3 linked regions of the Rattus norvegicus genome follow. The protein of the gene in region 1 interacts with the protein of each later gene in a pairwise test. Links are inferred from orthologs where the notes say so. Each region holds a gene or a part of one and is shown on either strand. Other genes may lie near its edges.

Region 1 (4,208 bases):
TATAGGAGTGCACTGCAGCCAGCTGTCTTCAGACACACCAGAAGAGAGCATCAAATCTCATTACAGATGTGATGGCTGGGAATTGAACTCAGGACCTCAAGGAAAGCAGTCAGTGTTCTTAACCACTGGGCCATCTCTCCAGCCCCTCCTTCTCACCCTCTATCTGGGTGTGGAGGCTTGCTCACATATGCCACTCATAGCCTGAGGCAGGAGGATTGATCCAAATTCAAAGCCAACCTGGGATTCATAAGCACACTCTGTCTAACAATGACAATGGGAAGCTTGGGGTATAGGTCAGCTGGTTACAGTACTTGCCTCGAATGTATTAAGCCCCTGGGTTCAATCCCCAATATCACATAAACTGGGTATGGTGGCACACACCGGTAATTCTAAAATTCAGATGATGGAGGCTGGGGGCGGTCAATGACATTCTAGGCTACTTATCATGTTAGAGGCTACCCTGGGATACATGAGCCCTTGTCTCAAAAGTGAGGTGGGGTGGGCATGGTAGAAATGGTTAAGTAGAGAAGAGTGCTAAGTGCAAAAGCATGAGAACCTGTGTTTACATTTGTAGCTACCATGTAAAAAGCCAGACATGGCTTTGTATGCCTGGAACTATAGCCTTAAGAAGGGTAGAAACAGGTGGGTCTCAAGAGCTAGCTATGCAGCCAGCCTTGTCAAAATGCCCTGTGCCTAGTTCACTGAGAGACCTTGTCTCAAAGCAATAAGGCAGAGGAGGAATAGAAGAAAAAACGTTGATGTTATCCTCTGGCCTCCAAATATGCAGGCATATTCAAATAGATACACACACTTCCATGCATATATTACACACATACACATACACACACACGAGAAGAAACAGTAACATGAGTCTCACACCTGTAATCCTAGGACTCTGTAGGTAGAAGTAGAAGGATCAAAAGTTCAAGGTCATCCTCAGCTATATAGCAAATCCAAGGCCAGCATGTGCTATAAAAGACTGTGACAAGAGAGAGAGAGAGAGAGAGAGAGAGAGAGAGAGAAATATGCAGCAGTAATATCGAACTTTGGTGTTCCTAGGATTTTTTTTTTTACTTTCATTGTGTTAGTGTTTTGTTTAATATTATGTGTATGGGTGTTTTGTCTGCATGTATTTCTATGAACACAAACACACCTGGTACCATCAGAAGAAGCCAGAAAAGTACCCTGGAACTGTAATTACAAACAGCTGTGAGCCACCATGTAGGTGCTTGGAATCAAAACCCCAATCCTCCTGAAGAGCAGCCAGTACTCGTAACCACTGAGCCATCCAACTCCCCATATTTTTTTTTAAGACAAGGTCTCCCTTTGATATAAAGTTTATGAAGTCCTAGCTAACCTAAAACTTACTCTGTAGATCAGGCTGACCTCAAGCTGACAGATCTGCTTGCCTCTACCTCCTGAATGCTAGGATTGAAGGCATACACCACTATGCCCTGCCACATGTCTCTATAATTTCATTTGGATGACCACAGGCCCTAGAAAAGTTTCTACAGTCATTGAGGCAAAAAAATTAGTAATATTGGTGTTTCCCTTCAAAACTCAACATCTATAACTTGAGTTCTTAGAAACATTAGCCCTGCTCTCAACTTTAGAGAAAGAATTCCAGTTTACTATGTTGAGCTGGCATTGAACAGAAATTAGCCACATTGGCCTCAACAGGATATATAATGTATATATTATATAATATATAATATATATATATATATATATATATATATATATATATATATATATCCTTACAAACAGAGAAGAAAAATCCCAAAGAGTTAAAGACAATACAAGTGGGAGTAGTGGTGTACAAAGATCAGGAGTTCAGGACCAGCCTCTATTACAGAACAAGTTCAAGACCACCCGATGCTCCATAAGACTTCCTCTCAATAAATAAATAAATAAAATTTAAAAGGTTGCGGGGGAGTGGGGAGATGGCTTAGTACATAAAGCACCTTCTGTGCATATGTAAGGATCTGAGTTCAGATCCCCAGCATCCAGATAAAAGCTGGGCACACTATAACCCCAGCGCTGGGGAAACAGGGACAAACAGATACACAGGGCTCACTGTCCAGCCAGCCTCAGCTCAGAAGGGAGATCCAAGTTCAGTAAAAGACATTGTCTGAGATAGGCTGAGTGTGGTGGTGAACACCTTTAACCTTAAGTACTTGGATGGCAGGGTCAGGAAGATCCATCAGATCAAGGCCAGCCTGGTCTACATAGAGAGTTCTAGGAAAAAATAGCAAACGGGAAGTATTTAGGAAGACACCCAATATGTCTATCTCTGTCCTCCACAGATGCTCTCTTACATGGACGCACACACTTACACACGCTGTACACATACATACATATACACATACATACATACATACATACATACATACATACATACACACACAAACATACAAACATGCTCACATACACGGATGTGTGCATTCCACCTCTGAACTCCCTCCAACCATGGTCCTAAGTGGCCTGTTTCCCTGAACACCTGCTGGAATCTCTACCCTACCTTAATTTATTCAGAAAGCATCACAGATCCATCTTTGTGTCAAACTATACCAAGCCCAGAAAACATGGACGAGTGAGAATAAAATCTCCTCTCTCTCGCTCTCTCGCTCTCTCGCTCTCTTGCTCTCTCTCGCTCTCTCGTTCTCACTCTCTCTCCCCCACCCACCCCCTCTCTCTCTCTTCCTGGTCCACTCAGCCTCTCCTGCAAAGACTCACCTTTGGAAAGAAGAAATGGGGGCTCTCCTGGATGCCCAGGTCCTGGATGGTGTCATCAGACAGCAGAGGCTAGAGGAAATAGGTCCCCTCACATGGGGTGACTTTAAGCCTGAGCTGAGAGTGATGTCATCTATTGTGGCCTGGATCTCGAAGGGTAATCCCAGGGAAGGTGGGGGACCGACTGGGCAACAGGAGGTGACATTGGCTGGGGGAAGGGCACCGTCTGCTTAATCCACCGCCACCACCCCCACAGTGACATCTTGGCAATTAGGGTTGATGAGGAAGGGAGGGAAGGAAGGCCCAACTCCTGCCGGCAACCAGGAGTCCCCACTCCTGGGGAAGTCTTTCCTTAGGTCTAACTGGTGTCCCTCCAGCATCAGCTATTATCTGGAAAGAAATGTCTTCAAAAGCACCGAGAAATGTGTACAGTGCTCCTGAGAGACTGGGAAGAGAAAGGCACAGGGCTTTCCGGGTTGTTCTTTGTGGCCCACGCTAGCGTTGAACTTGTAAATCTCCTGACACAGCCAGAATAACTGGGAAGAGATCTGTACTCTGGATGAGTGAACTAGTTCACATGTGTAGTTCCTGATGGTTCTCCTTCTTTTGACCTCAGGCTCTCTTTCTCTGTGTTCTCCATCTCTCTCCCTCCTTCCTCCCCTCCCTCAGTTTCCAACTCCATCTCTCTATATCTCTGCAGTCTCTCCACTGCTCTCTTTGTATCTTCTCAATTGCCTCTAATCTCTGCCTCTGTATCTTCATCACTAGCTCAGACCCTGTCTCTCAGAGTTTCTTTGTGTCTCTGTCTATGCCTCTCCCTGGGTTTCTATGTCTCTGTTAGACTCTCTGTCTCTAAATCTCTCTCTGGCTGTCTCTGTCAATCTCCACCTGTGTCTCTGCTAGACTCTAATCCTTGTCTCTGGCTGTCTCTCTGAAACTCTGCTTCTGGTTCTTGTCCTCCCTGTCTCTCTTCCTCTCTTTTTATCTCTGAGTGTTTCTGTGTGTCTGACTCTGTCTCTCTGTGTCTATTTTGTTTAGATTTGGGTTTTGTTGTTGTTGTTTTGCTTTTTTTTTTTTTCCGGAGCTGGGGACCGAACCCAGGGCCTTGCGCTTGCTAGGCAAGTGCTCTACCACTGAGCTAAATCCCCAGCCCCGATTTATTTACTTTTTATATATGAGTACATTGTAGCTGTCTTCAGACACCAGAAGAGGGCATCAGATCCCATTACAGATGGTTGTGAGCCACCATGTGGTTGCTGGGATTTGAACTCAGGACCTCTGGAAGAGCAGTCAGTGCTCTTAACCACTGAGCCATCTCTCCAGCCCGTTGTTTTGCTTTTTATTGGATATTTTTTATTTACATTTCAAATGTTATTCCCTCTCTCGGTTTCCCATCCATAAGCCCTCTATCCCATCTCCCTCCCCTTCTTGTGTAAGGGTGTTCCTTCTCCCCAATCACCTCCCCTTCCTGCCTC
Region 2 (3,986 bases), on another chromosome or scaffold:
TTTCAACGGATTTTTTTTTCTCTCTCCGCATCTCCCCACCCCCCTCCGGTCCCCACTTGCATTCAACATTAAAATTCTAAGACTTCACACAGATGCCCAAAGCCCGCCCTTCTGGCTCCAGCTGCTGCCTCTCCCAGCAATTTCTGTCTCTTCGGACTTCATCCTCATCTCTGTAAATGATAGGTCTCATTTTAACAGCACAGTTCTAGGTTGAAATCTTCAAGACACTCCTGAGGAAAAGTAATCCCTTGACAGAGCACAATGGTTTAGAAGGGCTGTCCCTAGGTCGCCCAGCTGGTAGCTGCACTGAGTCATGGCTTTATTATCGGCACGGGGAGGGGACAGGAAACTTAAAGTATTTTCTTTTTAAGTTAAAATAGCTCCTGGATCCTGGTTTGTGGGAATGCTCACTACGAACATGCAGAAGGAGCCAGCCTGGAAAGGAATATGGACAACAGACTAGGTTCAGAGACCGCCATTAGTGGCATTTCTGGGAACAAATGCACATCGATGCTTCATAGCTCTTATTGCATGATAATGTAAGCATGTCACATATAATCTCTATTACAGTGACAGTGTCCCCGAGACCTGCTTATCCTTAAGGAAGTCAGGCAACTTGCGAGACGATGCCACTGAATGAGTCCGGAACGTCCGAGATTGATCCAGGCCTAGTAGGTAGGACCAGTTTGGGAGCGTACAGCCCATTTGAGCTGCTGTCACTACAAGTCCCAGCAGTCCTCAGGGCAGGGAAGGCATGTGGCTACCAGAATCAGGATGGACTACAAATCCCAGCAGGCAAGTCACAGTCGCTGAGACTACCAGTCCCAGAATGCATCGTGTCCTACACAGCGTACTCTGGGATTTGTAGTCATCAGGGCAGCGTTAGTGTCCGTTCACACCCGTCAAAGAGGACGTACATTCCTCAGATTGCCCACTGGAGTATTTACTGCTTTAGCAAGTAACACAGACATGAGATGGGGAAGTAAGGGCCTATTGAGTCAACTCTTGGTACACGGGAGGACAACTGCGCATGTTCACTGGAGTCCGTCGGCGAAAGCGCGCGCAAGAGGCGCCCAGCGCAGGCTCCGCCCCCTGCCCGACTGGCCCCTCCCTGGAGCCCCGAGCTCAGGGAGCCTGCGCTGAGGGCGCGGCGCAGGCTGTGGGGAGGTGCTCGCAGCGCCTGCGCAGAGCTGCTGCTTCTCTCGCGAGGACGGACGCCATTATCGCATCTCCCCGACAAACACCACGAGAATTCCGCAGCCCACACGGTAATTGCAGCTCCCGCAGCCGGTCGCGCCTCCACTCCCCCTTCCCGCGGGGCGAGAGCGAGAGCGAGAGCGAGATCTCCGTCCGCCCCCGCCCCGCCCCGCCGCCAACCGTTGCCAACGGCCGCGGGCCGCACGCCGGGCTGGGCGGGGGCCAGCGGGCCGCGGAATGTCCGCGCGCCGCCTCCGCCCGCCGGGGCTGCGGGCTCCCGGCTGGGCGTGTGGGGTCCGGGGAGCGAACGAGCGGGCGAGGCCCGACGGCCGCGCTCGCGTTCGGCTCCGGAGCCTCGGCGCCTCCCGGGCCCGCGCCCGGCGCCCCTGTCACGGCCGCCCAGTCTGTCAGTGCAGGGCCTCGCGCGGTGCTCCCGGGTCCTGCGCGCCGCCCTGCCGCCTAGGTGGCCCCATCTCCCGGCAGTTCTTGGCGCTCTGCCCCGGTAGGGTGGCTTCGCCCTGGCTGGCGCATCCGCCTCTGCTCTGCTCTCTGTTTACATCGGGGCTGATAACTGGTGCTCGCTTCCCCACCTAGCGTCATGTCCCCGTCCCGCACAGCCTTGCTTTTATCCCTTGTTGTTTGTAGTGGCCTTTGTTTCTCTGCTCCTGGTGACAATGTAACTTCTCGAAGATAGTGTTAAATCTTCGACTTCACTCCACCTCCTCTCTGCCTTTTTCTAATCTGGGGTAGTGACTTTTAGGCCCGTCCAGGTAGGTCCAGCTGTCTTTCTTTGCACGCCTGGTTAGTTCAGGACACAGTGTTTCAGTCTGCTTTCTTCTCAGTCCTTAGGGAGCTTCTGCCAAGTACTTCCTTTCTGGTAACTGTTTCCTCCCTGGAAGGTTTTAAGGTCTCCTTGGCATTGGAACAGTTTTACAGTTCACAGGTATGCTCAGTAGGTGTGTCCTTGAGCTCTGGGAGATTTTCCCAAGAGAATTTGTCCCCCCACCCCGATTTTCTTTTTTCAGGGATTCCTGCCATGTGCGACACACATTTGGGTACACTACTTGAGTTTCTTCATCTTTCTATTCCAGGAAAGAGCTTCAGTTTATCTTTAAGCCCTAATATTTTAAGTTTTGTTCTGTGCATTGGCCCAGGACTTTAATGCCAGCACTTAGGAGACAGAGGCAGGTGGATCTTTGCAAGTTTGAGGCCAACCTCGTTTACATAGTGAGACCCAATGGTGGGGGAGGGGGAGTGGTGTATCCATAATCAAAATTGAAGTTTCTGGGGTTGGGGATTTAGCTCAGTGGTAGAGTGCTTGCTAGGGTTCGGTCCCCAGCTCCGAGAAAAAAAAAAAAAAAAGACAAAATTGAAGTTTCTGAGCAGAGCGCAATGGCACACACTTTTAGTCCCAGCACTTGGGAGGCAAATGCAGGCTGATCTCTTAAGTCTGAGACCAGCCTGGTCTACAGACTGAGTTCACAGCCAGAGCTACACAGAGAAAAGCGAAACAACAAAAAAAAAAAAAATTTTTTTTTCCTGAATGTATTTGTTTTTTTCCTTTTATTCAGTAGTTTGTTTCATCAATACGTTTTCTCCTTTGGGCTGAGGAAACTATTAGGGGTTCTTTTCAGTTCTCTGATTTCTTATTTAGTATCACTTTTGAGGAGTGGATGGTAAGTGTTAGCTTCTTGCTTTGGATGGCAGGGCCTCCACTAGTGCTAATTATAATTGCTTAAACTTAGACCTTAAGGTAAGAGGAAACTGGCAGGGGACCCAGGGTCTGTGGAGAAGGTTTTTAAAATGGTTTTTTCCCACTAGTATCTGCCAGAGCTTCTTACCTAGAGACTTGGAGGAGCACATAGCAGACACCTTCTATCTGGGCTGTTTATCTGTCTTCAAGGGTCTCCCTTTGCTCGGAAGCTGCTGTGCTTGGCTCTGAGGTGGCTGTGGAGACTGCCCCTGATGAGGCCGGGAGCCCCACTCCTGTGTTCCCCAAGCTGTCTAGATGAGCTCCTCTGTCAGGAACTGAAGGCTTGCTGTGTACTGTTTTCTTGTGAGTTTATTGTACTCTCGGAAGTATTTTGATGGGGTAAGCGGAGATTGTTTTCAAGGCCACTTACCTGGAACAGGAATTTAATTTTAGAGCCTGTTGTCTTCAGATAATTTCTCTCCTTACATTTTTGGGTTTTGTAATGGATGTGTGCCAGATCATGGTCTCTGTGGTTGCCTCCAGTTGAATGGATGGTTCTTCCGCTCTGCTATCTTGGTAGGGCACCAGGATGCAGGAGACTGGTCAGACACTGAGATTAGGCCCTTCAGTTTAGCTGCTTCACTGTCTAGTTGGGTTAGTGCAAGCAGCTAGCATATCATGGTTCACTGATCAGAGGTGAGCAGTGCAGTGTGTGCTGTACCCATAGCACAGGGATAGCAAGGCCAAGCATTGGGCTGGTACACTTGCAAGTTTTGCTTAGTGAAGTAGGCTGCATCCGCCAGGGCCTTGCAGCAGAGTCCACAGCAACCCACACACTGGTGAGCACTTAGCCCACCTGTGATTAAGGATTTCAGAGAGACTACAGCTGCCTTCCTCTTCCCCTTCATCATATCTAACAGCAGGGCTACCCAGATTACAGACCTTACACCCACTGACATCTTTTGTTTGCTTTGTTTCAGGATCTAATTCCCGACTCCTCACTGTAGTTGTCATGTCTTCTCCAGTCTGCTCTTTCCATTATCCCAAAGCATTCAGTGTTTATAAGTCTTGGCAGGAAAAAGTGCTCTCTCTGGAA
Region 3 (4,078 bases), on another chromosome or scaffold:
CAACACCAGCAATACGTTCTGCTTTGACGTGGGTGTTCTTCCGAGTGGTTAATGAGAGCTCACAAAAATCCTGGTCTCGTTTTCTTTAGCTATGGAGGGAGAAGGAGAGGGAGAGGGAGAGGGAGAGAAAGGGGGAGGGAGAGAGGAGGGGGAGGGAGAGAGGAGGAGGAGGAGGAAGAGGAGGAGGAGGAAGAAGAAGAAGAGGGGAGGGGAGGAGAGGAGAGGAGAGGGGAGGGGAGGGGAGGGGAGGGGAGGGGAGGGGAGGGGAGGGGAGGGGAGGGGAGGGGAGGGGAGGAGAGGAGAGGAGAGGAGAGGAGAGGAGAGGAGAGGAGAGGAGGGGAAGCACAAAGAGGGAGGCAGTTCTTTTGGACTATAGCTCCAGGTACCGTTTAAGTTCTCTCTCCCTCTCCATCTATCTCAGGGTCATCTGGCTCCATCCTCCAGATTTACTTCCCAGGACTTTTCTCGGTGATCAGGTATGTCCCAAGCTACGGTGTGTTTAGGTTTGAGAACTTACTGGAATGCTAGGCTTATTCTCTGACCAAACCACAGAGCACAGACTTGGGAACAGAGCAACAACGACTGCAGGACCCAAGAGAACTGAGGAGGTGCCAAGGCTGGAGGTGCCTGCTGCTGGCTCTCCAGTTTTCCTCAGTCTTCCCGTCTAGCACTAACTCTGAGGAGACTGCTGGAAAACTTTGCTTCCAGAGCCTCAACCTAAGCCCTTTGGAGAACCAACAGAGGTTGACAATTGGGTTTGGTTTTCACATAAATGAAACGGTCCTACTTGCTCCCCACTGACGACTGCTTAACTTCAATTCCCTTTACTCAGTGACTTACTTTAAGTACCCCCGCATTCCAGGCCTCTGCTAGGTAGAGAAGCCTGCTGGAGGCTGGTGCAAGAGAGGTAGCCGGACAGAAGCAGAGGTTCCGGGTGTGTCTCTACAAACCTGTTTCTCTTCAGAGGGATACATTTCAGCACCTCAGCCAATGGGAGGGCCCCTCTCTCTCTCTCTCTCTCTCTCTCTCTCTCTCTCTCTCTCTCTCTCTCTCCCTCTCCCTCTCCCCCTCTCCCTCTCCCTCTCCTTCTCCCTTTCCCTCTCCTTCTCTGTCTTTGTCTCATTCTGTTTCTCTGCGTGTGTGTGCGCGCGTGTGTTTGTATGTCTTTCTGTTTCCTTCTCTGTCTCTGTCTCTGTCTCTGTGTGTGGGTGGTGTGTCAGTGTGTATCTGTGTCTGTCTGTCTATCTCTTTCTCTCTCTGTCTCCCTAACTCCATCTTTGCATCTCTCTGTTTCTCTCTGTGTCTGTGTGTCTCTCTTTCTGTCTCCCTCTGTCTCTGTCTCTGTCCCCTCCCTCCTCTTCCTCCTCCTCCTTTCACTCACCTCTCGCCCTACATCTCATTTGGGAAAAAGTCACCCTGTGCGCTCCTTGCTTTTATTTCTCTTTCAGGCCCCTCCAGATGCCAGCAGACAGCATGCAGGACCCCGATCCTGTGCTTTCCTACGGGATGAAACTCACATGGGACATCAATGACCCGCAGATGCCTCAGGTGAGGAAGACACTCCACTTTGGGTAAAATGTGGCACTGTCCAGCCAAAGGGGAAACCACAAGACAACTCATGCTGAGACTACACACACACACACACACACACACACACACACACACACACACACTCACACACAGATCTTTGGATACATAGGGAAGTTGGACTCTAGAGAGAGCAGAGTTCAGTTTATTGGTGTGTCTTCTTAGAGTGATTTACCGATTTACCTGAGATTCTCTGAAACACACTGATAGCAACAGCGATACAGACTTAGGTTCCCAAGTCGTCAGCCAGACTCCCTATTCTCTCAACCAAGGCAGAAACTGAGTCAGTCTCTCTCTCTCTCTCTCTCTCTCTCTCTCTCTCTCTCTCTCTCTCTCTCTCCCCCCCCCCCTCTTTCTCTGGAGACTTGGGATTGGTACAAATTCAAGGCCAGTCAAAGCTACTTAGCAAAGCCTCATTTAAAACAGAGCAACAAAAAGCCTCACTCCTTACTCACTTACTCAAAGTTCAAAAGAAAGTTTTGGAGAAATGTAAATACCACTAATTCTCACATGGCCAAGCCAGGCACTGGGAGGTGACTGAATCTAAAACACATGTCCAGCCTGAAAGTCCAGCACCTGCTTGAGAAGATCCCAGTCCGGCTGCCGAAGCCACCTTGCTCCACTCGCAGGTCCCTAGCAGTGGAAGGGTTGCCCTTTCGGGGTAAAGTTGTCTTTCCATTGTCAGAGCCAAGTACAGGAATGAACCTGGCAATTTATGTTTAGATCAAGACTAATGATGGAAAAGTGTGTGTGTGTGTGTGTGTGTGTGTGTGTGTGTGTGTGTGTGTATGGGTGTATATGGGTGTGGGTATGGTATATGTGGGATGTGTAGATGTGGTATATGTGTGTGTGTTGTGTTGTGTAGTATGTGTGTGGTGTGGGTGGTGTGTATATGTGTGTAGTATGGTGTGTATATGTGTGGTGTGTATGTGGATGGTTGTATGTGGGATGTATGTGTGGTATATGTGGGATGTGTGTATGGTGTATGTGGTATGTGTGTGTGTGGTGTGGAGTGTGGTGTGTATGTGGTGTTAGGCAAATGCATACATGAACGTAGTGTTGGAGAAGAACTGCTTTCCTAGCATTTGTAAAGTGGGCTTCCAGTAAAGTCCTTTGACATTTTTTTTGAAGGGTTTGACACTTGACATTTATTTGGCCTCTGTGCTGTGTCAGATAATACTCAGAGATGAGAGATCTGTGGCGGGATATGGCGCCTCTGGCAGAGGTCAGCGTTTTGTTAGTGCACATGTGTGTATGGAGCTTGACTCACTTGCTCGTGCTCAGCCCATCTCCTTCACCATCTTCCAGAATGACTGCTCTGAAAAGAGATCCCAGTACACATGTCTCATTACCGCTGACTTCTGCCACTGTAAATCTCAGAGGAAACAACCCAATCTTGTACTTTGAGAAAGAATCAGATCCAAACGATACACTAAAGACATGGCCTCAAAGATGTGTAGACTTCCTGATAAACAGAAATTAGTTTTCCTTTGAGGCATGTGCATGCCATGAGGCATGGGTGGAGGTCACAGGACAGCTTTCATGAGTCCGTTCTCTCTTTCAGCCACAGAATTTGAGATTTAACTCAGATGGTCAAATTTGCAAGGCCATGCCTTTACCTGCTAAGCCATAATGAGGAGTATATCTAACACGTGAGAAAGGATAGGAGCAGAGACATAAACAGCAATAACAAAACTATCTATCTCGTGCTCTCTTTTCTCTCTCTCTCTCTCTCTCTCTCTCTCTCTCTCTTGTGTGTGTGTGTGTGTGTGTGTGTGATATCAACACGTGAGAGCAAATGAAACCTCCTTTCAGGTATGCATACGAGACACACACACACACACACACACTCACTCACTGTAGCTAGCTCTTCTAACTAATTAACTAATTAGGCAAGTGAGGTAAACTGGCTATGTGTCCTTGTGAGTGTCCTTGAACCTTTGTTAGTCTTGGGCTGCTGTCCTATCATCAAACGATAAACCTAGATAACGATCTCAAATTTACCTCAGATAAACTGTCATCTCGTAATGTGTGAGCATGTGTACACATGGCTGCATTCATGTATGCGTGCGTGCGCATGTGTGTGCACATGTGTGTGTGTGTGTGTGTGTGTATGTGCAAGCCTGTGGCTGCCAACATGCATGCTGCCAACACATTAGAGAGAGCAAATAAAGTCTCATTTCAGGTATGCATACCACACGCAGATGCACACACACAATTAGGAACAAGCATGAAATAAATCTTTCAACTGCTAAGTGGAAGCAGAGTTGACCGATTTTTTGTATTTATTTATTTATTTATTTATTTATTTATTTTAGCACACTGACCTTTGAATCTATTGGCTCGCAAGCATAGAATGCTTTTATTTTTAGGGCAGCTGGTCAATTGTAAGTTTTTGCCTCCCTTTACATGATCAGCGGTTAGACGAATGAGAAAAACGTCCCCGAATTTCATTCAACTGGGAGAAAAATGTAAAAAGTGTTACTCCAGC

Evidence for each region.
Region 2: the proteins of Crx (region 1) and Banp interact in binary tests that used the Homo sapiens proteins (3 or more experiments, as listed by UniProt). The two-hybrid records come from large-scale screens. The link is inferred for Rattus norvegicus from reciprocal best matches to the Homo sapiens genes CRX and BANP.
Region 3: the proteins of Crx (region 1) and Gcm2 interact in binary tests that used the Homo sapiens proteins (3 or more experiments, as listed by UniProt). The link is inferred for Rattus norvegicus from reciprocal best matches to the Homo sapiens genes CRX and GCM2.

Annotation. Positions count from the first base shown.
Region 1 is NC_086019.1:85,679,053-85,683,260, forward strand, and holds the start of Crx (cone-rod homeobox protein), read right to left. Parts: upstream 2,801-4,208; 5' UTR 2,737-2,800; intron 1-2,736. UniProt on the Homo sapiens protein: Transcription factor that binds and transactivates the sequence 5'-TAATC[CA]-3' which is found upstream of several photoreceptor-specific genes, including the opsin genes.
Region 2 is NC_086037.1:66,915,275-66,919,260, forward strand, and holds the start of Banp (protein BANP), read left to right. Parts: upstream 1-1,186; 5' UTR 1,187-1,247; exon of another isoform or gene 1,248-1,268; intron 1,269-1,561; exon of another isoform or gene 1,562-1,699; intron 1,700-1,707; exon of another isoform or gene 1,708-1,967; intron 1,968-3,986. UniProt on the Homo sapiens protein: Controls V(D)J recombination during T-cell development by repressing T-cell receptor (TCR) beta enhancer function. Binds to scaffold/matrix attachment region beta (S/MARbeta), an ATC-rich DNA sequence located upstream of the TCR beta enhancer.
Region 3 is NC_086035.1:23,857,101-23,861,178, forward strand, and holds the start of Gcm2 (chorion-specific transcription factor GCMb), read left to right. Parts: upstream 1-1,278; 5' UTR 1,279-1,458; coding exon 1,459-1,548; intron 1,549-4,078. UniProt on the Homo sapiens protein: Transcription factor that binds specific sequences on gene promoters and activate their transcription. Through the regulation of gene transcription, may play a role in parathyroid gland development.